Linked DNA regions of Drosophila melanogaster. The protein of the gene in region 4 interacts with the protein of the main gene of each other region in a pairwise test. Each region holds a gene or a part of one and is shown on either strand. Other genes may lie near its edges. The genes, in order: cv-c, CG4116, Nelf-E and Hn.

Region 1 (8,642 bases), on a different chromosome or scaffold from region 4:
ACGAGACTCACACAGGAACTGCAAGATGCACAAATTGAAAAACATACAATACGAAGAGCAAAAAGGCAATATCAAAACCAAAAGCAAAACAAAGAAAAGCACAGCTAAGTTTAAAAGCGAATTGCACTTCAGCGTACAATGGCCATAAATATGAAATTGTATGGTAAATTAATGCTATTATAGCGTCTAAAATCCAACACACAAGAAATAGAAGAAAACGCTTAGAAAAGAGCAGCCACAACGGCTAAATAAAGAGCCATATTTGAAGACCTTGTACGTGGGCTGCCTACACAACCAGTTCGCGGATTCAGTTTATTTCAATTTTGTGTGGTGCGCCGCTCTGAGTTGGCCCAAACCGACTTGGCCTGGTCCGGCCAACTCCATCTCCGGCTCCAACTATAGCTTCGGTGCACAGGCAAAAATGAATTTCAGTTCTATGAGGTCCAATAAAGATGCATACAACAATGTTGCACTATGCTCCACTGCTCAAGTGATTGAAAATAGTTAAATGGAAATAGTCAAAAGTAAACCACTTGCAATGCTACTATTCAGCTTTGTGTCCACTATTTTTTCGCAGTGCACTACCGAATGGCTAAAGCAGCGTTTCAGTTTCTTAGTCTATATGTATATCGGTTTCATACATATGGCGGCACTTGATTTGCATAACAAATGCAGCACAACAGCAGCTACAGCAAAAGCAAAGGCAAAATCCACAGAAGAAGGCTGGGGCCGAGCCAAAGTAGACGCCGAGTCACTCGGCCGTGCCAAAAACAAAAGCCAGGCAAATTGCTGCAAAAATATGTGGACTTGCTCAAAAATCAAAAATTCATCAAATGCGCACCCAAGAGTCCAAAAAGCTCGTCGCGCTCAATTACCAGAAATTTCACTCCATTAAGACACACACCTCGCGCGGCCATAAAAAGTGAATGTCTATCATTAAGACAGTTTTTTCCGACGCTTTTTTCTACATTTTGGGGGGTTTTCTTTGCCGTTTTTTTTTTTTTTTTGTTTTTTGCATCCGCTCGAACCAGCACTTTTCCATTTCCGCTTTTATGCCAAATTAATTGAGCCTAATTACGGCAATTGAATGCGCCGGATTAGATCATCATAGTTGATAGAGAGATTTGGAGAGTGGGGGAAAAAGATCACCTGCCGTGCCAACGAGCGTGAATTAATTGGTGATCTACGCCAAAAGCAGGAATTAATAACCAAGTTCGTTAAAAAATGCTAATTTAGCTCATTTTTAATGGCGCCATAACGCGACGCCCTTCACATATTTCCACCTGAGTTTCTAAGGTGACAAAAAAAAAATAGCCACCTAACCTACGCAGCAGACGTGTCAGTTCGAGACAAATTGGCAAAATGTCAAGTTATGGCAATAAAGGGAATACCCGAAAAGAAATCAACCCAATATTTTGTGTTCCTACATACGTGTCCAACAGAACAGAGCCCTTCCATTATATATTATACCTCACTACCTTAAAAAACAGGGAGTGGGCTAGATAAGTTGGGGAGCCATTAGTCAGCGGACGTCGATTGCGTAGCCCGGTGGTTGTTGTTCACCCGATTTGTTTGCATTTTCACATTTATTTATCAACAAATTACGCTGTAAACAAACGCAAAAAGACCGGGTGTAGTACTACAGCACATATGTACATACATTTCTCAAAAGTCCGGCCAAAAGGTTAATTATGCAGCCAGAGACTGGGAATTCACAGTGTGCACTATAAGTATTCACATTGTACGAAGATGTAAGTTAGTCAGCGCTCGTCAGTGCGGTTCGTCAATCATTTTCTGGATGGCTTACAAGAAAATCGTGTACGGTTTTTCAGATTGTTTTCCTATTTTTGGTGGTGATCTGTGGTCTGTAAACGTTTTCACTGCATTTTTTACAACCAAACAAATTTTTTGACAAGCAACTGACAGAAATTGACAAGCGGCCGAGCAATGGGCTAATATGCTGTACGGCCAGACCGAAAAGAACCCCACAAACGATATGATGTGAGAGATGGTTCCAGCTGTGAAAAGGTCAACATTTCAGACATTCAGACATGCTGGGTCTGTCGTGCAGAGTTATTGCCTTTTTGCCTTTTTCTTCTCAGCTGGCCTGAGTTGTTGCCTCACTTTCCAACGATGGCCGAAAGAAATGAAAAGTGTGGCCTGAGAACCCGAGAAAGGCCTTTCTTCTGCGCGGACCAACGACTTTGACCAGCTAATATTGACAAATTAAAAGCAGGTTAATGTGTCTTTAATGTTTGTGTAGTTTTCTCCGGTGGGGCTAGGAATCTTAGATCCCAAACATCCATTGATGCAACATATGTGCGCGCCGGCATGTAAAAATATACACAAAGATCGGCGCGTATCTTTAAGAACCGACATAAAATCCAGATACATTTATGCACACGTGTGGTAGTGCGGTTGTGTGAGTGTGTGCTGTGTGTGTGGAAACTGGCAGCCAAAGGCAAGGCAATTCAAAAGTCATTGAGGCGCAAAAGTCAAGCATAAATATTTCAAATAATGTTTGCTGGCCCCGCTGGCATTGGGTCTTGGCTCTTTGGTCTTGGATCTTTGTAAACCCAACTAAAACTGCTCGGCTTCTCTTTCCCCCGCCATGCTACCCCTCTCTTTCTCACACTATCAGTTTGGGTGTTTGTGTGTGTGGCATAATTTGGTGAGAGTTCGAGTTCAACAGCTGAACAAAAAACAGCACCGAGCACATTAAGTTTGAAATAAGAACAACACTATAGAACTCAAAACCGTACACATAAAAAATCGATGTTTTAATACAATAATAATAATAACACAAAAAAGAAGTGCTCAGTAAAATATTATTCATGTCTTTATGTAATTAAGAAATTTTTACTTAAAAGAGCAGATAGATCTTATAAGATTTCAAAATTTTCCTCCTTATGCTTGAATTTAATCATAATATCAGATTTAAAACCGATCATATTGTGTTTCTGTGTAGCGATCGGAAAACTGAGAACAGAGAATGGAGCACTGAGAACTGGGGAATCGTAGAACCGGAGAACCGGAGCTCCCAGCACGATGAGATGAAAAATTCTAGAGAGAGGCGGGCGTTTTTTGTAATAGACGATGTCTACGCTGATGACCTCAGTTAAAAATAAATAATGCCTTACATTGTTTGGAATTAGTGGCTGTTTCGTTACTCCAGTCCGTAGATGAGATCTGCATCGAGATTCGAGATTCTGGCCTTAAGTTCAGGGTGGCGCTCAGCGATCGGTGATCATGAAGATGCTCTGGTGAGGGGTTGGCGACAATAAGACAAAACATGGGGCGCCCAAACAAATCATTTTGTCAACTCAGCTTGTACCCGGCAGCTGGAGCAGAGACATAGAGACATGCATACATATTTGTGTAAATTCTTGTACGACATTTATCACACACGAAATTGATGAACCTGCCCCGCCTGATAAATGTTTGCGAGCTGCCGAACAAGGGGAAAGCGATTTTACTAAATCAGGGAAAATCTGGGCAGAGATTTGCTTCTAAGCTGCTGGATTGGGTGTAACATGGTTTTGTTTAATTAAAAATCAGAAGCGAGTTTTTTACGGAAGATGTTTTAGGATGGGAGATGTCTTGTTTATTTTGTTTATGTTTTGAATTTCATATCTAAATAAATGAAATAATATTAAAAATCCTAACTGCATGTAACTTATAAACATTGAATTATCAATTTTTTTGGGTCTTTCCCAACCAGAAGATGAAGAACGCCAGGCCAGTCGAAATATTGTTTCAGTTTTATTTACCTGAAATTTGCTATTTTATCAAGCACCCAGCACAAGTGTTTCGCTGTGAACTTATTTACATACTTATCGGTACGTATGTGGAGTATAAACAACAAAGGCAGAAACAACGAAAAACGAGTTTCTATATATAAGGTGGCTATGCTGTAAAATAATAAAGGGCGGGCCGTATCAAGAGTTGTTGTTATGGTAGACAAAACGGGTCGCCAGTTTCAGTTTCTCGGGGGTTAAAACGATCGACATACTCCGATGACGCATTTTAGAACCGGAAATGCTACGCCTGCCATTTGGCTGAGTTCTCAATAAGTATGCAAATCGGATTCGGATTGTTTGTGCACTTTTCGGTGATTATTCCCATGAATTAAAAACAAACGCTGGAGGGAAAAAGCAGCACTCGACCAGAGTGTAAACAAACTACAATACATAGCGATTATGATTTATGAATCAAAATAAAGCGCTGACAATTCAAACAGCAGCGGAAATGGTAAAGAAAGCCGATCAGAACTCGTATAAGGCCAATAAAAACGATCGCAGATAACTCGAACGCGTCGCGTAGATTATGCCAGCGACTAACTAACTGTAAACATATACTATTTAGGTTATCACTATCTTTTTCAGTTCGCAGCTGACAAGATAAAGTTGTACCACAAAGTCAAAGACTAGAAAACCGAGAAACTCAGGTAAATTTTGGGGAGTGAAAGTAAGTGGCAAACCCGGCGACAATCACAAGATGTATCTAAAACTCTGACGTTTCGTTCTAGGAAGCCCCGAAGCCACCCATAAACAAGCGACGTCTGGATTTCTCGAGATCTGCAGATCTTTATGGACCTGCAGATAAGCTGGATGGATTGTTTATCCTACCCCGAAGATAAGCGACATGGGGTCCCGAAGCTCTATTTACCTTTTTAGATGCGTTTGCGGTTGCTGCTCGCGAAGAGAGTATCTGTAGCTTTGGGTTTTCTTTATTTCTTTGATTTCACAACACCATCGGAGATTCTATAAACACCAAATAGAATTTTACTTTCGTATATTGCTTCACAGAACTTTTCTTTTCGTATAAATCAGATGTGTAATTTCTCTTTTATTTTCGTTGTTTCGTTTATTTTTTTATTTTTCTGAATCACTTGTATTTATTTCTCGTTTTCAACAACAACATTTCGTCATGTTTTTTTCTATGGGGCGTACAAAAAATGTAGTAAACGTAATCGAAAACAAAAGCACGCGTTCTCTTACTCGAAAGAGAGAAAGAGACGGGCGGTGAGGCAGAGAAAGAGACAGGGATAGAGATAGAAAGGGGGAAACAGAAACACACGCACACTACAAATAAACAAAAACGGAACCGAACCGCAAAGAAAACCGATTTTTATGCACTATTTAATTTTATATATTTTTCTGCACGCAGTTTTTATTTTTACTTTTCTGGTTTCGAAAGATGTTTATTTTTTATTATGGGAAGTGTTAAAACCGTGCGAAATTCAAGCCCAACAAACGATGCGTTTGTTTTCTTTGGCACTGCAATTTCCGCGCTACATTTTCGTATTTTCTATTTGCTTTTCGAAAAACAAGAGATTTCTTTATTGTTTAATGGAGAGTGCCTTTTTAATCGCGGTTGTGTGAGTGTGCCTCTGTTTATCGCGTTCGTTATTTGTTGTTGACTCCGAAAAATTCGTTCACACCCGCGCTCATTCATAAAACGTATCCAAAACACACGATGTCACGCACTCACAGTTTTTTAGCTTATGTTTCTGAAAATGATTATTAACACTTGATGCAGTATTTTGCAATATATTTACATCTCTTGACCCGCACGTTTTTTCGGATCCTAAATTCAATGTTCACCTTTTTCGTAAAAACCTGAGAACTGCCAATAAACAACGGTTTTTTGGATTCAGTATGTTTTTAAAAAATTTGAATAACAGAGGAGCGCTTTAAATTTGCCCGACTTTTCCCGGTCGAGGTGGAAACCCAACTGTTGTATCCAACAAACTCGTGGTTGGATCACCCTGCTTACCCGCTTTGTTTTCAATGGAAATGTTAAGATACAGCGTTTTAGCGGTTAACAGACGCTATTTCTATGGGAACTCAAAACGTTCGCTTGCTGTTCACATGGAGTTAACATGCGCGAGACCCGCGATTACCGGTTAACAGAGCGAGCTAACAGCAAGAATTATGAAGAGAGCAACATGTTGCGCTCAAACTGCGCCAACAGCTCAATTCGAGCCGATCGGAGCGATCTCAAACGACCTCAAGCATGTTGCAGTTCGAGAGGAAATCCCCTAGAATTGTTTATTGAAAGTAAAAACAGTTGGAAAAACTCCAAGCATATGGATGTATTTGTAGCTCTTACACACCCATTCGAATGTGTTTGTAAATTTACACTAACAAGCGGTGATAAAATCCCATGTTAGTCTTCTCTATGGCTTATTTAGTGTGTTTGGGTTTCTGATTTTATGACCCGGGCCTCATCTTTGTGCAGCCTCTTTCAGGCTTTATCGACTGGCATCTCCCTTAGTTCTTATCAGTGGGGCATTGTCTTATCTGCAGATTTATGGCCCAACGCTCATTTAATAGCCCGATTCCTGGAAGTCGACTTAACACTTTCGTTGTCTCAATTTGATTAGCGCCTGCATTGGCTTAACACTTTTTCACCCATAAAATTGTGTGAACCAAAACGAAAGCGAGACAAACTAACTGTATATAATGATAATGAAAAACTCACAAGTGAGCTGTGGACTATTTAATCACTTTACTTTTGTAACCTACTAAAACAAAACTAATGTTCCTAGTCAGAAGAACAAATTATATATTACTAATCATAATATAATCATGATTTAAAGCAACTTACGTTTCAAGTGCAATAAAATACTCAATAACCGGTTAGCAGAGTTCTACGATTTGTGTAAATGAATAATTATCTAATTAGATAGCTAAACTTTTAATTTAAAATCCTTCAAGTCTGTAATTTAGTTAAAAATACAGATATGACCACAGTTTGAAAACCATAAAGTTAATGGCATAATGAGCCTTTTGAATACCATTAATAATTTGTAGGAGTATAAGATAAGAGGAAAAAAATCATATAAACACCTCTAACTGGCAGTTAATTAGTTGCAGCTAATTGGTGGTGCTTAGTTAATAAATATTAAAACCGAAGACGTTTGTAAGGTCCAAGAATAAAGCACGTGAAATTATAAATCATTCTTATGGAGGAGAACGAACTCTTGTTCCGACCAAATTGTTGAATGAACCAAGACAGCTAACAACAATTCGTCAGGATTAGCCGTGTCAACTCTTTCCTGTTTTTGTGCCATCTCCTTATTTTTCCATTCTATTGGCTTTTCTCTTGCGTTTTCTCTTCTCGTTCCCTCCGCATTTCATAACGTTTTGAGGTGTGTTCGCCGGTCGGTCTCATCCTTATCGAAGGTGCGCATCAACGTCGCAGAGAGATATACCCATTTACCCATAACCATTCCCGACCCGATCTACGTGCTCGGGTTCTCTTGCCGGCTTTGAAATCGAAACTGCCCATTGTGTTGAAATCTAAGCGAGCGTGTGAGGAGCTCCCCAATCTCCGAATGAATCCCAGTCCCTTCATGAACTCCAGATTCCAATTCAGAAACTCCATGCCGTGTGATGTGCTGCATGCTTGATCGATAGCGTCTGGCCCCCTTGATTTCCAACGAAAGGTAAACACATCAAAAGCAAAAATATTGAGAAACAAAAAGATGCCACGCAGATATTTTCGGAAATATTTTGAATAGTTTTCAATGCCAATGGCATCGGGTGAAATTTGTCTTAGACAGTGCACTGCAAAAAATGCACCTAGTCCAGCACTTTCTCTAATTAGAATATGAAGTCAATTATTATATTTTTCTTCAACATTATTATGCTATTAATAATCATATAAAAACATAAATTTTAAAGCAATCTTTTGAATTTGTATACTTACAAAGCAGTTGTTTTCCTGTTATATTTTCTCGCTGTACGTGTACTTTTCACTTTGGCATAAATAATGCCGTATGAAATGCGATAAACAGAGTTATATATTTGCACACAGCGGGAAGCTGGCCAATAAAGTTGTATGGGATTTTCCATAATGCAATGCGCCGCACCGAGTTAAAACCAAACCGAAACCGAAGCGAGTGAAAAGTGCCATAAAAAAGGCAATGCTCGCTTCGCTCTTGCACTCACTCAGCGACATCATTCTGTTAATGGTCGCACTGTCTCCAAACGGTGCAATATGCAGATTTTGTGGCATAGGCAGAAGATAGGGCGGAATACCCCCCCCCCCTATTTTGCCGCACACCCCTAAATGCATTTGCGCCATTTGTTGGCCTTGCCGTTTGGCTGATAAGTCGAGTTTTTATGGACGAGCGCGCATTTAACTTGATTATAAACGACGGCAGGCGGCCGGGCCATATAAAATCGCCTTTCATTATGGCCAAGGCATGTGAAATTAATAAGCAAGTCGACCAGCCGGGCGGTCCAACATTTTGGCCAAAATCTCAACACTACCCGTTGCCGCCCAAAGTTCGTTGCCTAAGTCTTTTGTTTTTATTGTTCGTTTTTTTTTTTATTTGTTTTGTTTTCGCCAGGCCGAAACAACCCGCTGCGCGTGTTTGTATGCAAACAAGCTCCAAAAGCCGCTATAAATGTTCATTAATTCAAATTGATTCTAATCGCGACGCCTTCATTAATCTAAGCGCCACCCCACGCACTGCATTTCTATTGGCCGCAAATTATTTATTGATGAGCCTTGCCGCGAAATCTGCTGCCGGTTGCAGCCACAATTGCATGATTAATGGGCGGATACCTGGAGTGTCCATGAAGTCCAGGGAGTCGCAGAATAGGACCCTTGTTCTATGACAAACGATC
Region 2 (7,466 bases), on a different chromosome or scaffold from region 4:
TAAAACTAAATAATTTCGTTTGCCCATCCTTTAAAATTTGTTTTTTTCGTTTGCCCACTCTTAAAACTAAATAATTTATTTTTAAAGGGTGGGCAAACGTTAAAAATGAATTTTAAAGGATGGGCAAACGAAATTATTTAGTTTTAAAAGGTGGGCAATCGAAATTATTTAGTTTTAAATGGTGGGCAAACGTTTTTTATTGGAAATTTTTATTTTAAAGAGGTGGGCTAAGGAAATTGGTTGTATTTTAAATGTGGGCAATCGAAAAAAAATTTTTGTTAAAGGTTTTTTAAAGGGTGGGCAAACGATAAAAACTAATAATAATGGTTGGGCAAACGTTTTTTGTTGATAATATTTGGATGGGCAAACGATTTACTCTCTGATTAGACCGAGGTAAACTTAAAAGCCTTATATTTCCTAAAGTATAAATTTTTTCAAAATTCTAAAGGGTGGGCAAACGTGGGCAAACGATGTTATTGCGATTTAAAAAAAAAAAATTTGAAAAAAGCGAAATTTTTGATTTTCGAAAATTTTCGAACTTTTTCGAAAATTCATATCTCAAAAACTGGACGTGGGCAAAAAAAACTAATTGGTGGGCAAACATGGGCAAAAAATGGGCAAACGATTCCAGCTTTCAAATTTCAAAAATTCGATTTTTCCGACCCCAGCTTCTTTGAGCTACAGCTGACGCCAGACACGAGGGCAAAGTCGAATCGTGATGTGATGCCATGTGGGGATCTGTGCATCTTTATTCCCCAATCGAAGGGACTCTGTTCGCATGTCTGCCCAGTTTATCCCTTTGTGTGAAGTTTTCTTTTAAAGGCGGGAGCGGGATGACATGGAATGGCGTCGCCGGGAAATTTCATTAAAACGCGTTCTGAATGAATGCATTTTTTAAAATTCCATTCAAGAGTTAGGCCCCTGATATCCATGTATAAGCCCTATTTTAACTAGTGTTTTTTAGCCTCTTTTTTTTAAAGGTTTCACTGCTATACATTTGAGTTTCTCTGTGCTATTTCACTTATTTTTTTTTTATTTTTGGCACTGCTTTACGCTTGCTAAGTGCCAAGATATCCCTAAGTTTGGCATCAATTATGCAAGTCTGTAATTCCCCCCGATGGTCTGTGCAGTTTTCCAAGCCACTAAGTACACCTACCTCCACTATCCACCCCCCCCTCCCCCCTCCCCAACGTACTTCATCATTCATTTGCAATTTCCATTAAAATGTCATTGAAATTTCACTTACAAAAATTTCCCTTCAAAAACCAAACCGAAGTGGAGCAAAAATAAAAATTGAGTAGACGAAAGAACGGAACTGAGTTTTGTATTGTGGTAGAGAATGAAATCTGGGTAAAAGCGGGAATTGGAGTTGGTTTGGGGAAAACTTTAGCTGGCAATTCTATTGCCAAACGCATTTTGCACTTCAATTGCACGTGCAAATGAAAATGGAAGGGGTGGGCTATTGGTGTGTTGGTGTGTTGCTGGAAAAGTCTGCGAAAAACTGAAAAATTCAAGCCTGTTAATATGCGTAAGTGTGTGGGGCAGGTGGGTGTTGGCTGTTGGATGTCGGATGTTGTGTGGTGGGTTGTGGGTGGTGGTTTGGCAAGTGGGTGGAATCTCCTGCGAGGAGTCCTGGCGTGAAGTTGTCGCTTTATTTTTCTTCTCGGGCTTCTGGTGCTGTCATTGATATGGCATTTTCCCCAACCACCCAAAAGTACCTCTGAGTACCTCCCAACCTCCATCCCATTTTTAGCCTCACCTTCTTTCGTTGTCGTTTTGTCGTCGCCTGTTGTTAATTGTCATTGCGTCGCTTTAAGCCGCTCAGTGGCAGGAAAATGGGAAATGGAAGCCTCACCTTGCGTGTGGGGTGGGGAAAATCGAGAGGTGGTGCCGGATAAAGTGAATCAAGAGGAAGGCCAAGGAGCAGGAAAGACTATCGGACATACTCTTGCCTTGCCGAATGTCACTGCAAATCGTTGAGCAAATTGACAGCTTTTAAGTTGACAAACAAATTATTAAGTATGATCATATTCAATATATTTATTTTCTATACGTTAGTATATATATGATATTACCAGTTCTATTTGAATGCACATCACTATAATACTATCTACTAATATTAGCTTTGAAACTAGTTTAGCCTGCGCATTATAATTCGTGTGGATAGTCCGGTTTAAAGATGATTTTAGGAGCATATGCTTCCCTTCGGTGTGGATGGATAGTTTCTCCCTTAGCCGTTGTTGTTATTGCCACTGTTGCTGTTTTCACGCGCGGTTAGCGCCTGTAATTGCATTGCCAAGTAAAGGACGAACCGCGAACAGTGAGCGACATTCGTATGTGTCTCTACGTTCGTGTGGCGCTCCATGTGTGCGCTGCACTGGCAGAAAACAATTGGTGGTTCTTAAAAGCGGAATTTGGGACATACTATCATCATATATCGCTACAATTACAAAAATATATGCTTAACATGGCTGCCCCTTTCTTTGTTTTTTCTTAGTTTAAGAGCAATCCTTTGTGTTTTTGGCCAGTGTAGTTTTGGTGCGTGTGTGTGAGCGTTGGCGTAAGTGAAATTTATTTCAACAGCCCCCGCCAGGCATTCAGCCCCAAAACTGTCGGTTGGCCAACTTAGGCGAAAAATTGAGAAGCAAGGCACCACCAGCAAGGCAGCATCGCATCAACGGCAAATGAAATGAGGCTGGCAAAAAGGGGGATTCCGGGGGTTAAATGCGCCCCAATAGGGGGCGCCATCTGCGGCACACTGGCGCCAAAGTGATGGAAACCATTCCGAATGCACAATCTCACAGCGGTTGATCCAAAAAAAAAAAAAAAAAGGAGTGAATGAAAATATGCAATTCTCAGAGAGAGAGAGAAAGCGTTAAGTGGGTGCATAAAGGGGCAACAGCGGTTTATGGGTTCAACTTTGTATCGTGCAGAGTATTTGCTCGGCTATAGAGCAGTATTCCGTTGCTAATAGAACCCTTAAAAGGTACAAAAACCAATATACGATTTGGATTTCAAATTCCCATTTATATTATTACCCACTGTGCCCGAAAAAACCCCCAACTGAAGCTGCAAGCAGACGTGTTTCTGTTGCTGATTTTAAATTTTAATTAAAGTGTGGCTCCTTGGTTTTTGGTTTTGGTTTTTGGCTTTGGTTTTGCTTTTCGGTTTCGGCTGCGACCACTTGAGGTTCACGATCCGCGGCAAAGCAAACAATGGCCTACAAGTAGGGGCACTTCTTGACACGCTCTTGCCACTTGAAAAGTCCAACTATTTGGCCTCGGGGCCAGCAAAAATGGTGCGAGAAGAATGAAGAAAGGCTTTCTAAAACCTATAACCTATATATATTGGCAAGCAAAATTCCGGGCATCATGGCATCCATGACCGATGAAAGTCGATTTCCGTCAACTCATGTTGGGCTATAAAAGTGCCAAAGATCTGCCCAATGGCACACACAGTTCGATGGTCCATCGTCCAGAAATGATCTACGCAATTCTAGTGCTCTGTCTGCTGGGCAGTTGTTGCCCAGCAATGGCCCAGAAGGTCGAAAAGGATCCGCTGGCCAAGGAACAAAATACCCGTTTGGCCGGCATCTATGTGAAGGATGGCAACGAAAATGGCCAGCTGAGATTCCTGGCATCGGGCTTGAACAGTGGCAGCAGCAGCACCAGCTCTTCAAACACCGGTATCAACTCGGCCCTGAATCAGTACATAACCAATAAGCAGGATATGCTGGAGCAACTGCGTCCCACTTCGGGCACCACATCAACGGGAACGGGAGCTGTTACGGGCACATCGACGGGAACAACAGGAACGACTTCGGGAACCGGAACTGGCCTGGTCACCACGACTTCCAATGGAGCTATCTATGTGAACCTGGGCAGTTCGGGATCCTCATCATCATCGTCTTCCTCCTCGTCGGCCACCAATGCGGCCATTAATCAGGTCATCTATGGATCCTCGCCAGTTGCCGGTCTCTTGCCGCAGATCGTTGGCCAGGCGGTGTCCAGTCGAGTGCGTCCCGGTGGCCAGAACAATAGGAGGCGCGTTCCCGCCCGTAGGCGCCGGGTCAACAAGAGGCGTGGCAGCATTAACAACAACAATCAGCGACGTCGCCGGCGTGGCAACAAGCGGGGCAAGAATAAGGCCCAGGTGATGGTGGTGCGACCAAATCGCGGTTGAGAAGAGGATCCACCGCCTTTCTTAGTTAAGCGAAAAATTACTTTTTTTTTGCCCCCCAGCCAAGGAATTTTTTTTTTTTTAATGATTACTATTAGTATGCGAGAAGGCAACCTTATTTATTTATTTAAATGATTGAAAGCAATTACACTCTGCAACCAAGGTGGTTTTATTCGAGGTCATTATGGCAAAGGCGTGAAATGGATAATTAAATTTTAGCTTTGGTATAACATGCATATTTCATGGACATCATTGCTCTCACCTTGTGTATGTTTTCCAATCGACCAAATTTGCGATTGCAAAGCCTCAAATTTGTGTAGGCCAGTGGATTTGGCGTAGTTGCACTAATTTATGGGCCAACTGGTGTTCATGTTCAAAGGGCCGCCAGTCGGTGTGTCTGCGAGGTGCGCTGGCCCGTTTAGAACCCCCTTGGTGAGCCCCTGGTCAAGTGCAAGACAAACGGTCTCCGGTCGGCTCTGCATGCGGCGGTCAATGTCTTGATAAATGTCTGCAGGATGGCGCCCGGGGAGTGGCGCCCGTTGCTCCTCGTCCTGGTCAGCAGGACGACCCCTCGTGCGGCGCCGCTGTTCCATTTCGCGAACCTCTAAATCACCGTCACGTGTCCGGGCTGTGTATTATGTGCTCATGACTGTAATGAGCCTGTAAGTGGACCTAATCAGTGTCATAATAATAGAAATTAATCACTGCAAGGCCATAGTGGCATGGGTGGTGAAAAATTGTGGAAAGGGGCGTGGAAGGCAAGAGGCCGAATGGAGGAGGCGTGGGCGCCCACCTGCAGCTGCTGGCAAAAGTCAAAGTTGAACTTGCTGGCATTTGGCTCTTGTGCGGTTTTGTGCAGCGCTTTGGCGCACATACTTTGTAAATGTTTTGCAATGATTTGATTTGAAATTCATTTGAATTATTGCTTGCTTCCGGTTTCCGGTGCCTTCAAAATACTTTCCTGTTTCCTTTCCACCGCCGCCGCCGCCGCCCCCACAAACCCTGGCATAGCCTCTCCCCCATGGTGAGGATATGGAAAAGGACCCTATGATGTACGACCAACTTGGTTGGCCTTCTCTTTTGCGTCTCTTCCTGGGGAGTTTATTAAGTACTGCTGCCAAGCAAGCATACACTGAAACGTGCAGACGACTGAGATTTGATGTAGTGAAATTGGTATGCAATGGTTATTTGTTGTGCTGTTTTAACAGAATTATAATCTATATGCAAAACATACCCCAAAACGCAAGTCCATTTCCATTTCTCCATTTCTCGCAGTGCATTTGCATAGACCAAATAGCAACTGGTGTGTGAGTGTGCGGAACTTTGTTAATATGCAAGTGAATGGACATTTCCGGTACGGACAAAACGTGCCATGTGCCAGGCCAAAAACCGAGAGCCAAGGTCCTGGGCAAGCCCGCGAAACCTTTTGGGGGAAAATCTGTAGTGGGCAGGGGGGAGCCAGGGGTGGGGTCTTACGGTTTAATTGGTGGAGGGGGGGGGGGAGTGATGGTTCGGTGGTTGGTACACAGGTTCTCAGCCCAAGGACATGTGCTGTGCTAAAAGTCAAAATCACCATCCACTGCCCTTGGAAGCACTCACCGGTTCCCTTTGGTCTAGCACATTTCGCTGCCCTACAAAGACGAAACTGAAAAGCTTGGGCTTTAAAATTAGCTAATTTTATATTATATACTATATACTATATTAATATAAAAGAATATATACATACTATGGAGCCGAAGAAGAAGTTAGAGGGCATTCCGAAAGTCGCCTACTTGTGATTAAAAGTTTACTTCTCCTCGGCTCCGCTCATGTGTAATTTTCAATTAAAATGATTTGAGTAGACAACTTTGAACGCTTCTGGCAGTGAGTCTGCCACTGAGTTGGCTTCTGATTTGGACTCGGGGATACGGATAAGGGATACGGGATGCGGATTTTGGACCTCAAGGAAAGGGCCACAAATGCGGGGGAAAATGGAATGCCACAAATACTTTTCGAGGCAGAAATCATAAATCATGCAGCAGGCAAAGACACGAACCGCATTGGAAATCGACGTCGGAGACCCAAACTGCGGCGTTGACACACGGACATCGGGCGGGATATCCGAAAATATATACATAAATACATTTAGCCGTGTGTGTGTGTGTTTGTGTGTGTGTGTATGGACATGGACGGACGACTAAGTGGGCCACAAGTTTCGCTTCACTTTTGAAATAGTTGCAAAGTGGAAAAGTTTGGCATGCAGAGTGTCCACGTCTGTGGTCAGGAAAGGGCATAATTGTGGGGCATCCTGCCCAGGATCCAAGGATCCAAGGATCCAGGGATCCGGGGAATGTGGGAGTCAAAGAATGGGTGCGTGAGTCACGTGCCAGAAAGCACCGGGATTGCCAGCGATAATCATGACACTTTGTGTGGCAAATTTCTAGTGAATAGCATGGCAAAGTCAGAAATGTATAATTTTTTCCCTTTTTTTTCTTAAGATATTTTATTTATATTTAATATATTTGTACATGTACAATGGGTCACGCTGCCATCACTTGTGGCTGACTGTGTTGGTCTTAACACTTTATTTTTTGTCCAAGTGGCAATGCAGGCAAGATGTAGAAACCGATGAAATTCTGCGGCTCCTCTCCTTTTTGTCCATTCTTCACCGTTGTCTGTCGATATTTCTCGAATTCTTTGTGGCTTTTTTTTTTTTTTTGAATCCCTCAAAGCAATGGTCAATTGACATGGCAGCAACAACAATTGTGGCTTAGTTGGCTGGCCCCCTTCCCCCGGCTTTTGAAATCGATTTTTGTTGTTCTGTAAATTTCTTGTATTCCGTTGGCTTTTAATTGCCGTGACGTGTTTGTTCTACCGGTTTTTTCTACCAACTTTTTTCGGCCTTATTGTTTTTTGTCTGTTTGGTTTTTTGGGTGCTTTGGCCACTTGACGTTTGATTTACTTAGTACTTTTGTGGTTGCTCTACAAGACCAATTGTAAGCCAATTTTCGATGGGTTGAGTTGGGGAGGCGGGCGAGCAGGGTGGTAAGGCCTTCACAAGTGGACAACGACCTTGTCTTTTTTTTCTGATTTTTTCGTTTTATTTTTTTTTTTTGTTTGCCTTTTTGGCACACTTGTCAAGTGCGCTTGTTCGCTGCGTTTTTTCGTATGGTTTTGAAAAGTATATTTTTCGTTGATTTTGCCTGAAACATTACCGCTGATTGATTGATAAATGACTTGGCGAATTAATTGCACAACAAAAAAAATAAAAGCACACACACACATACACTTATAAAAGCCATGCACAT
Region 3 (7,495 bases), 840 kb from region 4:
CTCTTCCTGGTTTCTGGCTGCCACTTGGAGTTACAGTATGGCGTTGGCGCTGCGCGTTGCCCGATGCGCCGCGATTCCGGCCAACTGTTGGCCCCGCGATCGCCGGCGACTGTTACACCTGTGCAGCAGGTGAGTAGTTGACCCCAATTATCAGTCAGCATTAAAATTCAATTACCCAGCGCCAGCGATAAGAGGCCAACAGCTTTCTGCAGCAGGAACTACGCAACGAAGCCCGAAGCAGCGGTTCCACCACAAATCAAGCGAAATGTGGCCGCCGAGATAACCAGCGTGGGTAAGGTCATCTACGAAACGGGCTGGGATGCCAACAAGCCCATTGAAAAGCCAAAGGTCCGGCCCAGCAGCTCGTCGTCCACACAGCCGACGCCGTCTAAGAAACCCGAAGACGAGAAGCGCAAGGAGCTGGACACTGTGAAATCGAAACGGGATCAGATGCGAGACAATATGCAGGACTACATATTCACCCGGTACTTCAACTATGTGAAGAACTACGACAAAGTGCTCGAAAAGAACTTCCCCAAGGCCATGCAGTTGTACAGGGTGTTCTTCGATGGCGTCAAGGACTTTTTTGGCGACATGAAACGTTTCCTCAAGATTGCCCGCATTGCCAATGATTCGCCTCAAGGCATAAGAGCTTTGAATCGCCAGGAGCTGGAGCTGTACATGCAGATGCCAAGGGACATGATGAAGGTGGCACCAGCTCTGATCGGCTGCTCCCTGCCCATGGTGGGCTATGCGTTCTTTCCCCTCGTGTAAGATATGCCCTACTAAACACTCTTGCAAAATTTGGTATACCGATTTGTTCTTTCGCAGCTTTTATTACCCCCGCTCCTTTCTCACTGCCCATTTCTGGACTCCGCAGCAGCGCTCCGAGTTCCAGAGCTACTACATGAAGCGGCGATTATGCAATAACAAGGACGTCTTTCGCTGCCTGCAGGACAAGCTCAAAGCGACGGCATCGCATCCCAAGCACTCGGCTTTTGCTGACATCCTGGGCCAGCTGGGCAGCGGCACACACCCCACGCCTGAGATGCTCATCGATGTCAAAGACATATTCGCCGAAGGACCATATTCCCTGCTGGGAATGTCGCGGAAGCACGTTGTACGTTTAATCTGACACATTTTATGCAGCCTAAAGCATATCACTAATGCATACGTTCCAGAGAAACCTAGTCAACCTTCATGGACTGCCCAGTAGCATCTTCAAGCGACATCGGCTCCACGAGCACGCCTTCCTGGTGCACTACATGGACCAGGCCATAACCCGCGAGGGTGGCGTTCACAACCTGACACCGGATGCTTTGCGCTACTCCTGCTATCTGCGCGGATTGAATCCCGACAGCCTGAGCAGCGAGGCCATGATCGAGTGGCTGCGGAAGTGGGTCAAGGTGTCCACGTCGATACAAGGCGAACATATCACGCTGTTCCTGCACTTGCCCATCCTGCTGGGCTACAACCATCCCAACAACTGGAAGACCATCTACGGCAAGTGCCCCACTTGAGCGGGGTCCTCTGGTCGTTAGCTATTTGGTAGACTGTGCTTTAAAGATTGGACTGTTAAGATCATTTTGTTTCTTGAGAGCAAATAAAACCGTTAAACCAAAAGAAAGCTGGCAGTGTGCTTGTGTTTTTCCTAAAAATAACACTTTCTTTTATTTTCTCCATGGTGGTGGATGTTCATCAAGCAGTTACTTTCGTTAAAGGTAGTATTTTTTACTTCTTGGCCGCGGCCTTCTTGCCACCCTTGGCCTTCTCGGCACGCAGACGCTCGCGACGATCCTTCTTGAGGACGCGGGGAGTGCCGTCAGCCTTGGTGCGCTTCTTCAGTGTGTTGAAGGCGATGGTCAGCAGCTTGTTGCGCTGACGCTTGGCATAACGCAGCTTGAAGCGGTCAAAGTCGTTCAACGAGGAGCGCTGCAAAAGAAGACAAATTCTCATTAGTACTTGATTTATTCTGAATGTTTATGAAGACGCCTAGCTATGATTGTAATCAGATAAACTAGAATTAGCTTCATATATGTGTCAGCCGGCAATTCCTATCAAGAACTTTCAATTATCATCATGTGCAGTTCAAGGAGGTAATCAACTAGGCAGAGAAGAGGTATAACATTTTCCCCTCTACATAGGTAAACTTTCCTACAGCTACGAATCCTCCTCGTGCTCAGTGTACATACCTTGCAGATGTTCTGTGCCTTGACGGACCAGGGGCTGACCTTCCACTGGGCCTTCAGGTCGCTCTCTGTCCAGGCCTTGCGCACGATGCGCGTGGGCGCGGTGTAGGGGAACTTGATGCGGTACTTGGTCAGATGCAGATTGTTCAATCTGTATTCCTGACGGGGCACGCCAGTCAGAGGACCATCTACCAGAACCTGAAAAGTGAAAAGCCATTAATTAGTTTGGATCACTTTAACCATGTATGGCCATGAAGGGAGGAGTACAGCAACAAATGCTGGTTTTGCTTGCTTGCTTTCAGAGGGTTAAACTAGCTTCATTTATGTGTCAGTTGGCACTTCCTATCAAGAAGACAAATTATCATCATGTGCAAGAGCTCGTCACTTGGCAATTTGTTGCTGTTACTCCACTATGGAATGATGCACTTACTCTGTTTTGGTCAATGACGTCGACAATGGCCACCAGGCGCCCCTTCAGGGGACCGGCGGAGGCCTTGGCAATGCGACCAGTTTGTACGAATCTCTCGAAAGGCTGCAAACAGAGAGAAGTCCATTAAAAATGGGTGAAAATGTTGGATTTCGGTTGTTGCATGGCCAGCGCGTTGCTTGTGTTGGTGACCACCACGTGAACTATTTGAATGTTGGATATCCCATGGTTTTCCAACGCTTTTACGCTGCTTTCGCTATTCACACGTTCAACGCACTGACCCGTTCGCTTGGCCGCCAAATTTAATTCATCTCGGGCCATTTAGACCGCTGAATTTTCACATTTTTCAACCGATCCGCAGAAACCTTCGTCGATTCTTACCATGACGCTAACCGGAAAGAAAGAGAAGGAAAGAACTTTTTTGACAGCTCGGTGGTAGCATGGCGTTAGTGTTGCTAAACACAGAGTTGCATGTGGTCTAGTGTTGTGCAGAAATAGTTAATGTGACAGTAAATCATACACATCTTATGTGGTATTTTTCGCTATCAACTGTTACAGTCACACTAAGCCAATTCGATAGATTTCGATAGTAAAAATAAACATTTTGGAATAACATAATTACTTTTGTAGAAGTTACTTTTTACGGGGTTAATTTCAAGCAGACATTTTCCCAACATGGTTTACATACACTTCCCCAACAATTTAACCGAAGAGGAGCAAATGCTGCAGGCCAAGTATCAGAAACTCAAGAAAAAGGTGGGAAAACTCATGCCACAAATGTGATTATTTATATTAACAAGTTTTTAACCCGTAGAAAAAGGCACTGCAAGCGCACAAGGCGCCCAAGCCGGAGCCGGAGAGCTCCTTGACCTTGAAGCGTCCCACGGATGCGCGAGATGCCCGTGAAGTGGCCAGGAAACTAATCAAAAGCGGCGCCATTCCCGCCATCCAGAAGCAGACCAAGCAAGATCAAACCTCCTTCAAGCGGCCCAAAGGACAGGAAAGAGCCAAGCGCTCCACCTCGGAAACCACTGTTGCCTCCTACCAGCCCTTTTCGTCTACGCAGAACGACGTGGCCCAGGAGACGATCATTAGTGAGATCATTAAGGAGGAGCCGCGTCGACAGAATCTCTACCAACACTTCGCCACCGAGCGGGATCGAGAGGAGCGCGGCATGCCCGAGAAGGTGCCCATGGACACAGCGCAGCCAGAGAAGCCACGGGCCGGCAATACCATCTTCGTGTCCGGCAACAAGGTCACCGAGGATTTCTTAAAAAAGACATTCAACGACTACGGCACCATTGTCAATGTCTCCATGGAGATCGAAAAGAGGTAAGTGAACATGGAAAGTCCATGTTATAGCTTACATATATATTTTCCCAACTGGAGAAATTATAAATTTATCCTGTATGGCCTTGCAGTCGCGGCTTTGTTTCCTTCGCCAAACCCGAGTCGGCAGATCGCGCCATTGCGGAGATTCATGGCAAGAATGTGAATGGCATCAACTTGCAGGTGCAGTTGGCTAGACGCCAGCCCCAGATTGAGCCCATTAACGATGCCTCCTCGTCGGCAGTCTGGTCATCTATTGGTAAGTGCTCAGTGTTTCTCTATAACTTAAAAACGAAATCAAACCTTATGTACTCCCCAAATAGCCGCCAGCAAATCACAAAAGGGTAGCCACAAGGACCACCGCGAGATGGTTCAATACGATGAAGACTTCTTGCTCTAGAGCGCAATAATTAGTTTCTACGTTTAGCTTTCTACTTACTTTATCCCTTAGTAACAGAACACATTTCAGTTTATTTTAAATAATTTTGCTTTATTGAAAATACGCTTCTATATATATGTTCACTTTCTGGCTAAGTACTCGCATTTCAAGTTATAACGTTCAAATGAATTCAATGAAAAAGATTGTATGTTTTGTATATTAATTCCTACGTTTTGATCTAAATTAAACAACAATATGTTTAACAATTGAATCTCTCGCTTTGCCTTACGTGGTAGAAAAGATGAGCAAACAAAATAAGTTCTTATTAGTGGTCCTCGCCCCCTCCTCGCAAGAAACAGAGAACGTCGTATGTATGTACATAGCATGAGTTAAGTAAATAGTTAATACATGATCGTTGCTTCTGTTGCTATGCTCTGCCATATAGATTTCTATATCGTTGGTAGACAACGTTGAAAAATGTTCCCTCTATATTTCTGGTTAGTACAAGTTAGATGTCGGTATGTGTGTGATGATGGGTCATTGAACTGGGATTCTGGTTTCGATTGTTTTGTGTGACTAGTAGCACGGGCACGCCCCTGCCCAACGCCGCCCCCATTGGCGCACCTCATTCCTAAAGTAATTTCTTGTTAGTATCATTAAGGCCTTCAAGTTTCGAGCGGACACCTGGCCGCGTTTAAATTCGTTTCTTCATCCCGCCAAGTATCTTGGCCAGATTCGATGCTCCAAAATGCAATACCGCTCCAAAGGATAACAAAACCAGGATGGGACTGCCCACAGTCCCTCACGTCTGCCTTCCATGATCGTTCCCGGGCGGATTAAAGTAGTCCCAATGATGGGTGTGCACCTGCCGCCCCGTTAACAGGAATACCAAAACTGCGAGCGTGATCGCGATGAAGAGGATCACCAGTGCTGATATATTACGTGTCGCCTGTTGAGGCTCCATTGCTTCACCTCGAACATAGTGCGTCAGCTGGTTGATAATGTTAACCAGTTCCAGGCTGCAGGCGGAGGCAAAATTCCGTCCTGCTTGAGCAACCGTCTTGGGCTGATCGTCGTCGTAGTCTTCATCCAATGGCTGGGTAGCACTGCGGGTACGAGAGCGACGCGATCGCGAGCGTGGTCGCTCCACCAAGTGTTCCTCTGGTTCGGAACCTGATTCCGGTTCGAGGGGTTCCTGGACATGACGACGTCGACATTTGTGCGGTGCCTTTCGCTCGACTGATTTCAAGTCCTCCGCTTCCTCCGCCTCTGCGCTTCGCTGCAGATTAAAGAAGGCTAGTGGGGCCAAGGACTGAAGGTACTCAACACTGGGATAGGCTGTCGGCGGTGGAGGTAGTGGCAACAAACCGGCATCCGTCTGGGTCTGCTCGTCCAGATTGGATGCGGGTGGCACTTGCTCGGTGGTCTTGCTGTGACGAGGTGGCTTAACGGGCAGCTCCTTCTCGGAGGTGGCGGGTTCGCTACTTGCCTGCCGACTAGTCTGGGTTTCAGTGGTAAGCAAAGATGGACGCTGCTCTCGCTGCACCCGCTCCACAATGTCATCAATAAAACCAGGCGGGAGTTCGATATTCTGCACCACCAGTTGTCCGGACTTGCACTGCAGATCGTCTGCTTTGACTTGATTGCCATGCAGTTGCGATACTTGAATCTGACCAGCCTGCAGGGCATGGACGCGCAGACGTTCCACCTCTAATTCGGCCAGGCGACTGGGGAATTGCGGTTCTGGCGCAGATTGCACCGTCTGGATGGGCGTAAGCTCGCGGCTGTACTGTTCGGCTATGGTCAGGGCTGTGGTGGCAATGGTTTCTAGGGCGGTGGTGGACTTGCGACGTGGTGGTGGAAGAGGAGGCTCCTCTGGTTCCTCCTCTTTGTCTCCAAAAGCTGGTTCGGTGGGCAAAGTGGCAACGAATTTTAGCTCAACTTCGGCCTCGGTGGGTTCGCTAGCTGTGGATTTGTGAATGGTTTCCTCAACTTTCTGGGTTTCGGGCTCAGTCGGGGTATGTTCCGTGTCGGATAAAGTGTGCTCCTCCTCGGAGAGAGGCTGTTCACCATCGGATAAGGGATGCTCATCCTCAGATGGGTGATAACCGACCTCGGAGGTGGCTTGCTCCTCTTCAGATTGGTGGTAATCAATCTCGGAAGCAGCCAATTCCTCCTCGGAGAAGGCCTGCTCTTGCTCTGATTCTTGCTCCTTCTCCTTTTGGCGGTAGTCAGATAGCTCCTTCTCCATTGCTTCCTGTAGCTCCTTCTCCAGAGCCTCCTCCAGTTCCTGCTCAGTTAGTTCCTTTTCCAATTTCGTTGTTTCCTGCTCTTCCTCCTGCTCCGAAAACTTTTCCTCCTCATACTCGCTGTCCCTGAGGGTTCGTTCAACTTCATCGTCCTCCAGTTTACTCTCGTAGTCGCTCTCCAGCTGAGCCTGCTGTAGTTGCTCCACCGCTGCGTCCAAATCTGCCGTGCTGGCGGCGTAGTCACTCAATGCCACCTCACCGTGCTCATCCTCCACGTCGGATTTACTTTGCACCGAGCTGTCAGAGAGCAAGCCCTCACGACGCAGTTCCTCCTCCTCCCGTCGCAGATCATCGTCAATCAAATCGGCAGCACTAATGGGTCTAACGATTAGTGAGGCCTGCACCGTGGCATCATCCTCGCCAACAGTTAGGCTGGGAGTGGGCACACGGCGTTCGATGATCACCGCCGATGAAGGCGTCTGCGGCCGGCTCAGCGACTTGGAACGATCTGCTTGCGATGAAGCCCGTGATCGCTCCGACATGCTGCGCTGATTGGCGTCCCGGAATCTCTGCAGACCTTTAGCCAGCTGCTCGTCCTCGGACAGAACTCGAGCTCCATCTACCTCATCCTGCTCCTGAGCTGCCTCTACGCTGCGCAACAGATCCTCAAGGGTTTTGTTAGCCGATCCATTGGAGCGTCGCGGTTCGATGATCTTCATGTCCTCAGTGATCTCGAACTCCTCGCACACAAAATCATCGGGCAGCGGATCCGTTTGGGTGGACACCTCTACCTCAAACTCACCCTGGTCATAACTATCCGCCTGGCTGGAACTGGCCACCTGTTCACTGTCCTCGTAACTCTCGTGAGTCTGGCTTCCTGCTCTCGTGGATCGCTTCTCGCGCGGAGGACGCGGTGGCGGCG
Region 4 (8,910 bases):
GGGATTCGCACCTGGCAACATGACAGCAGCAGCGGTGGGTAATTTGGGAGCCAGTGGCCAACGTGGACTGAATTTCACCGGCAGCAATGCCGTGCAGCCGCAATTCAATCAGTATGGATTTGCACTGAACTCGGAGCAGATGCTTAACCAGCAGGATCAGCAGATGATGATGCAGCAGCAGCAGAATCTGCACACGCAGCACCAGCACAATCTCCAGCAGCAACATCAGAGCCACTCACAGTTGCAGCAACATACCCAGCAGCAACATCAGCAGCAGCAGCAACAACAGCAACAACAGCAGCAACAGCAGCAGCAGCAACAGCAACAACAGCAGCAGCAACAACAGCAGCAACAGCAGCAGCAACAGTTGCAGCTGCAACAACAAAATGATATTTTACTGCGTGAGGATATCGATGATATAGACGCCTTTCTCAATCTGTCCCCCCTGCACTCATTGGGCTCGCAATCCACCATTAATCCCTTCAACTCCAGCAGCAATAACAACAATCAAAGCTACAATGGAGGCAGTAATCTGAATAATGGCAACCAGAACAACAACAATCGCAGTTCAAATCCTCCGCAAAATAATAACGAGGACTCGCTGTTGTCCTGCATGCAGATGGCCACCGAATCGAGTCCTTCGATCAACTTTCACATGGGCATCAGCGATGATGGCTCCGAAACGCAGAGCGAGGACAACAAGATGATGCACACTTCCGGCAGCAATCTGGTGCAGCAGCAACAGCAGCAGCAGCAACAACAACAAATCCTGCAGCAGCATCAACAGCAGTCAAATAGCTTCTTCAGTTCGAATCCCTTTCTCAACAGTCAGAATCAGAATCAAAACCAATTGCCAAACGATCTGGAAATATTGCCATACCAGATGTCCCAAGAGCAATCACAGAATCTATTCAACTCGCCACACACAGCCCCAGGCAGTAGTCAATAGCGTATACCCACTGTATATAACACTCTGTAGCGATAGGAAAAGATAGAATTGTATAACTCCAGGCAACCCATATAACCACATATCCGTGTATTATCAAGTTTGGCCTCTGGCTCTCTTTATCGAACCTCATCTATCGGAAGCCCAGAGCTAGTTGTAGATCTCAACAGACTGAGTATTGTCCCACCCCGCTCCCATTATGCGTTGTATATAACATAAACATAGGTGTACTATAGAAAAGGTCTCAAAAAAAAAAAATCCATTGTAAGTAGGTTCTAAATTGTTGTAGTTTGTAGCAAGAACCCATCGTTTCCATAGGTTAGCCTTATCCAGTAAGTGCCATCGAGGCGCAAACAAGGATCTCTGATACGAAATCGAACCTTAAAACCTAATCCTAAGTTATTTGTATTCTAATATACTGAGAAGCGACTAACAAGCAAACGAGTTGAGCAAAGCTAATTCAATTCCATATTATTTTCAAGACTGGGCTTCGTCATTGAGGTCAAAAATGATATTTATCGTACGATTTAGTGTTATTATGTATGTATAACTCATAACTCAGGTTGAGATTGCAACTGACATTTATTTTGCTGTGAAGATATTCCCATAAGTTTTCTTTAGGCCCGATCTTTTCTGACAGCTGAAATGCCATTAGTTCAATCATTATTACAATTTCCCCTGCATTACCATTTTACTGTTGGAAAAGTTCGTTCGAATATGCTTCGATCTGCAGCTGATAAAGAGCCAAATGCTTTAAACTTAGAACTTGTAAATGGAAACAAACTATCTTAAACTCAACTACAACTACCTTAATAATTTTAGTTAGCTCAATGTTTAAGATTTGTACATACCTATAGGACGAGTCGTTAGAACTTGCTTAAGCCTGTAAATACGATGAGGATAATGTAGACCCATTTTGTACATAACTGTTTATATGTTTTTCAAAAGAGCTTAACAACAAAATGTAATTGAACATGCTAACCAAACCAAAAAAAAAAACCAGAACATTATCGATACAGAGTTGTAATAAAGCAAAACAAAAAACAGTTACAAAAACTTACATAATTGCATGTTATTTATTATTTGATTCATTCTTAATAGTAAGTAAAGAGAGGGAGTAAAAAATGTATATGAATTCTACTCAGACGCGCAGCTTGGCAACGGCATTCTGAAGAATCTGGAACTCGGAGTTAATGTTGTCCATCAGATTCGAAATCTGGGGCTTCGAGTCGAGAACCTCAACACTCTGAGTATAGGCATTGTAGCGAACACCAAAGGGTCGGGGAATCGAGTTCGCAAATTTACTAAAAGTAATTCAAGTTATTTAACACTTTCGTTAGATATGTTTAGGCCTAGTAACTTACATGGTCTTCTCCTTGGCGGTTTCGAAACTATCGGCCACATAGTACAGAGGCTGGAACTGAGTAATGGGATACTTGGTGACGCCAGTGACCTCCGGCTCAAAGTCCTTCAGCTGCGGCTTGTCCGTGAGGCAATACTCCAGTTCCCCGTAGGAGGACAGCAGACCAGCTCCGTACGCCTTCAACTCACCCTCCTGGCGGCACACGCCGTACTCAACAGTGAACCAGAAGATCTGAAAGAAAGAATTCACGCATCACACAGTTATCCTTTGTTAGCCTAGAGCAAAGAGCCACTTACGGTGGACAATTTCTCAATGTAATCATCGGGTGCTCCCAGGGAAGCTAGCCCGATCTCCTGACTGAATTGGGCAAAAGCTGGATCTGCAAAAAGCGGCACGTGGCCCATCAGCTCGTGGCAGACATCTGGTTCCGGTGTGTACATGGGCTTGCTGGGATGTCGGATATACTGAGTGGAGTGGAAGACGCGGAAGGCCAGTCCAGCCAGGAAATCCCGAGAGCTGAGTAGTCCAGCCACTGGACGCAGAGTGAAACCTGTGCAATCTGAAGTGCAGCAATTTAATGTTACGAATTCTATCTAATGGGCAGTAATCGAACTAACCCCTCAAAAAGTTGGACACATCCTCCAGCTGGGGAATGTTATCCTCTCGGAATCCACAGTTGTCCACCAGCAAGGGAAAGACGTGGTTGTACTCGCGACAGGCATGTGTCTTATACAGCTTCGTAAGATTCCTGAAGATAATGCCCCAGGTCTCGATCTCCTCCTTGGTGTAATCCACATGGGGCAAGGGCTCGCCATGCTTGTAGTTGTAGGCAATGTCGGCGAAGTACTTGCGACGCTTGCGGTATTCCGGATCGGTAAAACCAGGATGATCGGCATCCAGCTCCGATCCGTAGCTCAGAATCTGATTGGCGAAACGATCCAGATCGCGTATACGCCGCGGGAACCAGGGCACAGCCGTGGCATTATCCTTGTAGTCACGCGAAATGATGTTAAAGTAGCTACACTGCTCCTTCACATCCTCGATGGCTTTTCCCAAGGCTCCCGATTTTCCATCGGCCTCCACGAAAAACTCATAACCGGGAACACGCAGCGAGGAACGCGACTCAATATGCACCAGGTTTATGTCATGCTTCTTGAAGATGGCCAAAATGTTGGCCAAAGCTCCGCTGGACAACGACGAATCCTTGGGCGAAAACAGAAGACAGGTGTTCCTGGCCTCCTTAATATCTACACCCTCGACTATGTAAGCCGAATCCTCTACGCGCGTTGGCTGTAATAAATTCATTGGTAATTTAAAAAATATTTACGGTTTATATTTTTGCTGTTTGGGAAAACAGCCATTGCATCATTGGAAATTTGACAGATTGACTCCGAGTGACCTGGGCTAAACGAGCAGTCAAGCCAAACTATTTAATATAGATAATATTTCTCTGCTCTTATGACTATGCAATGTCTATCAGCAAATCTCCTATTACAGAGGCTACCAGGGCCCAAATCGCATAATCATTTAACCGAAGCCTTATATGAGCCAACGAACTGTAATTGTAGTACTTGCCTCAGATCTGCATCATTGAGATTGTTTGTGTTTTGGCTTGAACCCCCATATTGAAGGTTTAGGTCCGACCGCAATGGCAATCAGCGCATATTGCCAAGGACTCGGCCTAGAACTTGGTGTGCTGTATCTGTGGGAAGGTCTCCCAAGTAGTATACTTTGCAAGATCTTGAGCCATAACAAGGTCCTCTAACAGGGCTGAATTATTTGTTCTTAATGTATTTATATGACATCTTATTAAGCTGTACTGTTTCTACTTCCAATATATGCGCCTGACGTCTTAATTCAGGTTTTACTCTACAAAACACATTAATAAACTACTTGTTTAGGAGCGAAAATAAAATAAACCACTAGGAGTCCCAGACACCACTCTGTTTTCCTTTGTCTAGAACTATTGCGAACTAACCCAATTCCATGACAGGTTTTATACATTATAGATCCGCATTCTCATTTCAATCAAAATAATAAAATTATATTTTATTTGAATTTTTTTTCCTCAAAGGTTGGACAAGTTCATGCTGAGAACGCAGAATAATAAACTTGTTATTGTTTTTAATTTATTAGCTATTTTACGGATCACTTTCTATACCGGGTGCACAGAGGACTCTCGCCGAAGCAACAAACCTTATCAAAGGAGACCTGCCGCTGGTACATTTTCACAAGATTCTCGGGTTTCTCCACTGATAAGTACAATAAAACCGATGGCGAACGATCCGTTCAGCAAACGAATTAAAACTGATTTAATTTCTCTATGAATCGCGCGCTTAAATAGACTTTTCGATAGGCCCCATAGCTGAGCCCAAACGAAAATCAATCCGAACTGAAACCAGTAAAAAATACAAATAATATCGCGGGCAATCGGGCGAGTAAATGATCTTGGAACGGCATCCACATGCGATCCAATCGCGGCTATGGCTCTGCGGCTGCGGGGTTATCAGTGCCCAGTGTCTCGATGGGCCTAAAATCCCATTTCAGTATTCAGCTTCATTACAGAAGCCGTCGTCTAGCCGATCAAATCTAAATGTTGAGGCTTAAATACAGTCTAGCATCCATAATTCAAAATACGAAAAAAAGGAACGCCTGATTCGAAAAACCAGTTTTGAATGTTATAGATCTGTGTTCCTGGAACTTAGGCACAGTTTTCTATAGATAAAATATAATATCGTAAACAATGTTTTCTTACTTTTGAAGAACCCAAAGCACTTCCTTTTCGCATGTTCCACTGTATTTTGGAAATATTATCAGCTAAGACTCGCCCCTCTGCTGGGGTCCAAATTAACAAAACATTATTTCAGCTAGTTTTAGATTTGCTTTGTTTTGCAAAAAATCATACTGAATAATCTGGGCTGTGTTTTTCTAATGACAGGTTCTAACCAAACGAGTTCAACGGCATTTCAGGGCAATTATTTCAGTAGTGAATAGCTCCAAGTGGGCCTGGCACGCGCTACTCTTGGTTTTTTTTTTATACTTGCGGTCCACATCAGATTGACTGGAATCAATTAGTCCAATCGTTACACTCACCCGAACTTTTTGTCGGATTTTGTCTTTTAAATGGTAATACGCTTTCCTTAAGTCTAGGTGACTTACATTGTGGTACCCACTTGTAATTGTTAATCTATGAGTAGGTTTATTATTGTTTCAAGTTCAGAGTTCACTCGGTATAAGCACGTCAACAGATAACCCCGAAATTTAAGCTGATGTAATATTACAAGAGCTTACAAAAGCTAAAGCAATAAACCATATCTATACCATGTCTTTACTTCCGACATAAAATGTTTCAATATTCTTATTTCTATTTTTAGATATGTTTTTTGTCAATCCTAAAAAGCATTGATTTAGGCCCAAAAGTAGGCAAAGAAATCAGGTCATTTTTGAAGACAATGAGGGTATTAAGGCTAATATTTTATGTAGACCGAATTGATAATCCACTTTCAATACACTCCAAAATCAAGACGAAATGGGAGTGATCTATGATGACGATGCTTAAACATCCGAAAAACAAGCAAGCCCTATCTGTACCGTTTGCTTACAAGATTTGTCTTCAGCGGAGAATATTAAACATCTGTTCTACATGTCAAAAGTTTTACATCTTCATTGATTTTTACACACCAAGACTGATAGTCAATACAAAATCAATGCACGCTTCAGTGCAGGAGTGTAGGTTAAATTTATTTTTATTTTTTTTGTCGTTTTATATGTTAAAATAAATTAACGGCTTTGTGGAATCCGGTTAAGGCGGAGCGATCTTCACGCAGCCCTCGTCCTGTTTCACCTAAAAAATTAAATGCGTAAAGGTAAAATGTAAATATGTGTTATAGTTAGGTTACTCAGTCTTACTGATTGCTGAAACACATATTGTGGCACATTGTCCTGCCATCTTCTTTGGATCCAGCCCCATGGTGCCGCACAAATGAGCTGTGTGTCCATTCTGGGCAAATAGCCTCGATCACATAACAGTTCACAAATCGCGAGTGATTTGGATGGTTCATTATTGCAGCTTGCAGGATAGAAACGTCCATTGCGAGGGGGTGTCAAAACTGGACAACTCAATGCGAGGGATTCTAGAAATAGGATGCAATAGCAAATACATAATGTGTCTTATAAAATCCTATAGCACTAACTTAAATTGTTTGTACATTGTACATTGATGTGTACTTACCCACGCACTTGGCTTCTGGACTAGACCAAAGTCCGGTGTGTCCACAAACCGCAAATTGTGAGCCCTGCATGATATAACCCGCGTTGCAGGTAATATTGCAACGAGTGTAGTTGAAGCCATTTTGGAGATACTTATCGCAAGAAGCCTTTCCGTTGGCTGGTCCCTTAAACAAAGGGCATATATCCTTTCTTGGTGCTTCCTGACTGACAGGCGCGTCTTTCGATGGCGGTAATTTGGAGCCATCCAAAATACAACTATTTTGATCATCGAGTAGATGATATCCTTGGGGGCAATGGCAGATATAGGAACCTACCGTATTCTCGCATTTGTGCTCACAGTAACGGTAAGTCATTCGCCAAGAATCTGAATCAATATCCGCCAAATCGCATTCGTTAATGTCCTGACACTCACTGCCATCGTCGGACAGCTTGAATCCGGACTTGCACACTATTTCACCCGGGGAGAAACCATCGCCGTCGGTGGGCTCAACTCTGCCCACCAGTGACGGAAGGCATTTGTATGTTCCATTTAGGTTTTTACATCCAGCCGTACAGTCCCACGATAGTTCGGGATCAGCGCACTCATCAATGTCTAGAAGGTGGTAAGTAAATTTATAGGTATTTTTTTGTTTTGCTTATAGATTTCGACATAATTTTTTTAGTACTTACCCAAGCAAGTTTTTTCATCACTTTCGTCTATTTCAAAACCACTATTACAGGTGCATATGAATTCACCAGGAAGGTTGTTGCAAACTTGAGAGCAGCCGCCATTCGATTCCTTGCACTCGTCGATATCTGAAACAGAAGATAAAGCTTAGTGTATCTTAAGGATATATTGATTAAAAAATGTGTACCTACCATTACAGCTTCTTAAATCGGTGGAATTCAGTGTATAACCCTCATAGCATTCGCATTTATGAGTTGATCTGTTACATATATGAGCGCAACCACCATTATCAATCCTGCATCTCTACAATAAAGACGACTTATAAATGTATCTTATGATCAAGAGATCAGTTTCCAAAAAATCATTACCATTTTTTTTTGCTTCATTGAATGCGTGTTTCCTTTACCAATCTTTATGCAATTGGGTTTCAAACCAAGCCATATACCATTTGAGCAATAGAGTGCATTATCTTTGGCACGTTTGAGTTTGTAGTTGACGCGGCAGGAATAATAGGTCACAAGAAAGACATGTTCCCCATTTCGGCGAAGTTTGACGGATGCCTTAGCATTTTTAATCCTCGGAGGAGTCCAGCAGGTATCGTCGTATTGAAAAGATAAATTGTTATCTATTGCGGGGGTGATTTCGGGAATATCATTTAACGAAGCTGTAAAATTAATGCATTAAAAATCAATGTAATTCAAATAAATAAATAAATAATTGTATATAATAGAAATTTTTCTTACTTATGGTTATGTTATAATGGATTCACAACATACCTGTGGAAAATGCGATACACATAAGCGCGTACAAAACAATCACTGATGTCGACATTCTGTTTTGCACCATTTCAATAATTATATAAACATGTTCATGATTGGATTACTTAAGAAAACATCAGCCGAAAGTAAACGTTTTGTTTAATCAAGTGTCTCCCATTGAGGCGCTTGTCACCAACTTGCATTAAAATGTCTGCCTAAAAGTACACACTTAATTAATTAAAAAATAAACGCAATAATATTTACAATATTTAGAATATTGTGAGTAACAGATGTTAGTAATTGTATTTAATTTTAGTTGCCATCTATGAACATGTATTTTTACTTTTTTTCCGTTACCATGTTCAACACTTTTAATGTATGTTTGATGTAAACACTGTTAAGATAATTATTTACAAAATATATAGGTTTTTTTTTAATGCCGTAACCCTTTTTTTTAATATTCATTTATTAACGTATCGGCAAACAACGAATCGCTCCAAAGGAAAACTGACGACAAACTGAATTATCAGGTATTTGGCCGGCAAGGCAAAAATACTATTTCGGTACCCATTATCAGTAGGGTATAAGCATTTTCAGAAGATTATTAAACCTAAGTGTTAAATTATGTTATTCAACTATATAAGCTGACATTACATCAATTAAACTCGCAATCGAAATCAAATGCGCCGCTGCAACTGCTCGCCATACTGTAAATGGATTTTAATTAAACGAAATTAAATACAATAGAAATCTAGCGTAGGTGTGTTACTCTTAGACTTATTTGGTTGGCCGAGCAAACATGTTATTCTCTATATATATTTTATATATATATATATATACATATATATATATGCCACCCGATCCCCACTACTTGGATAGGAAACCCAATTTTTCCTTTGTCCGAATTTTTCATTGATGAATTGCATTTTAAGTGCCAAATCGATTT

Evidence for each region.
Region 1: the proteins of Hn (region 4) and cv-c interact in a two-hybrid assay, tested with the Drosophila melanogaster proteins (one large-scale study listed by BioGRID).
Region 2: the proteins of Hn (region 4) and CG4116 interact in a two-hybrid assay, tested with the Drosophila melanogaster proteins (one large-scale study listed by BioGRID).
Region 3: the proteins of Hn (region 4) and Nelf-E interact in a two-hybrid assay, tested with the Drosophila melanogaster proteins (one large-scale study listed by BioGRID).

Annotation. Positions count from the first base shown.
Region 1 is NT_033777.3:14,475,974-14,484,615, forward strand, and holds the start of cv-c (crossveinless c), read right to left. Parts: upstream 5,741-8,642; 5' UTR 5,607-5,740; exon of another isoform or gene 4,940-5,606; 5' UTR 4,669-4,939; intron 1-4,668.
Region 2 is NC_004354.4:3,063,484-3,070,949, reverse strand, and holds CG4116 (uncharacterized protein), read left to right. Parts: upstream 1-3,387; coding exon 3,388-4,182; 3' UTR 4,183-4,335; downstream 4,336-7,466.
Region 3 is NT_037436.4:8,596,540-8,604,034, reverse strand, and holds Nelf-E (negative elongation factor E), read left to right. Parts: upstream 1-3,155; 5' UTR 3,156-3,291; coding exon 3,292-3,372; intron 3,373-3,430; coding exon 3,431-3,948; intron 3,949-4,037; coding exon 4,038-4,204; intron 4,205-4,268; coding exon 4,269-4,345; 3' UTR 4,346-4,593; downstream 4,594-7,495. Other genes in the region: CG5989 (uncharacterized protein), read left to right, coding at 38-129, 180-770, 832-1,120, 1,182-1,520; RpL14 (ribosomal protein L14), read right to left, coding at 1,732-1,932, 2,193-2,387, 2,620-2,721, 2,998-3,000; CG43078 (uncharacterized protein), read right to left, coding at 5,127-7,495. UniProt on the Drosophila melanogaster protein: Essential component of the NELF complex, a complex that negatively regulates the elongation of transcription by RNA polymerase II by RNA polymerase II. The NELF complex, which acts via an association with the DSIF complex, causes transcriptional pausing.
Region 4 is NT_037436.4:7,756,252-7,765,161, reverse strand, and holds Hn (henna), read right to left. Parts: upstream 4,710-8,910; 5' UTR 4,536-4,709; coding exon 4,506-4,535; intron 4,179-4,505; exon of another isoform or gene 3,885-4,178; intron 3,796-3,884; exon of another isoform or gene 3,615-3,795; coding exon of another isoform or gene 3,600-3,614; coding exon 2,927-3,599; intron 2,869-2,926; coding exon 2,606-2,868; intron 2,541-2,605; coding exon 2,311-2,540; intron 2,251-2,310; coding exon 2,088-2,250; 3' UTR 1,996-2,087; downstream 1-1,995. Other genes in the region: Clk (clock), read left to right, coding at 1-949; CG32373 (uncharacterized protein), read right to left, coding at 6,112-6,153, 6,219-6,442, 6,541-7,131, 7,209-7,334, 7,398-7,509, 7,575-7,870, 7,983-8,052.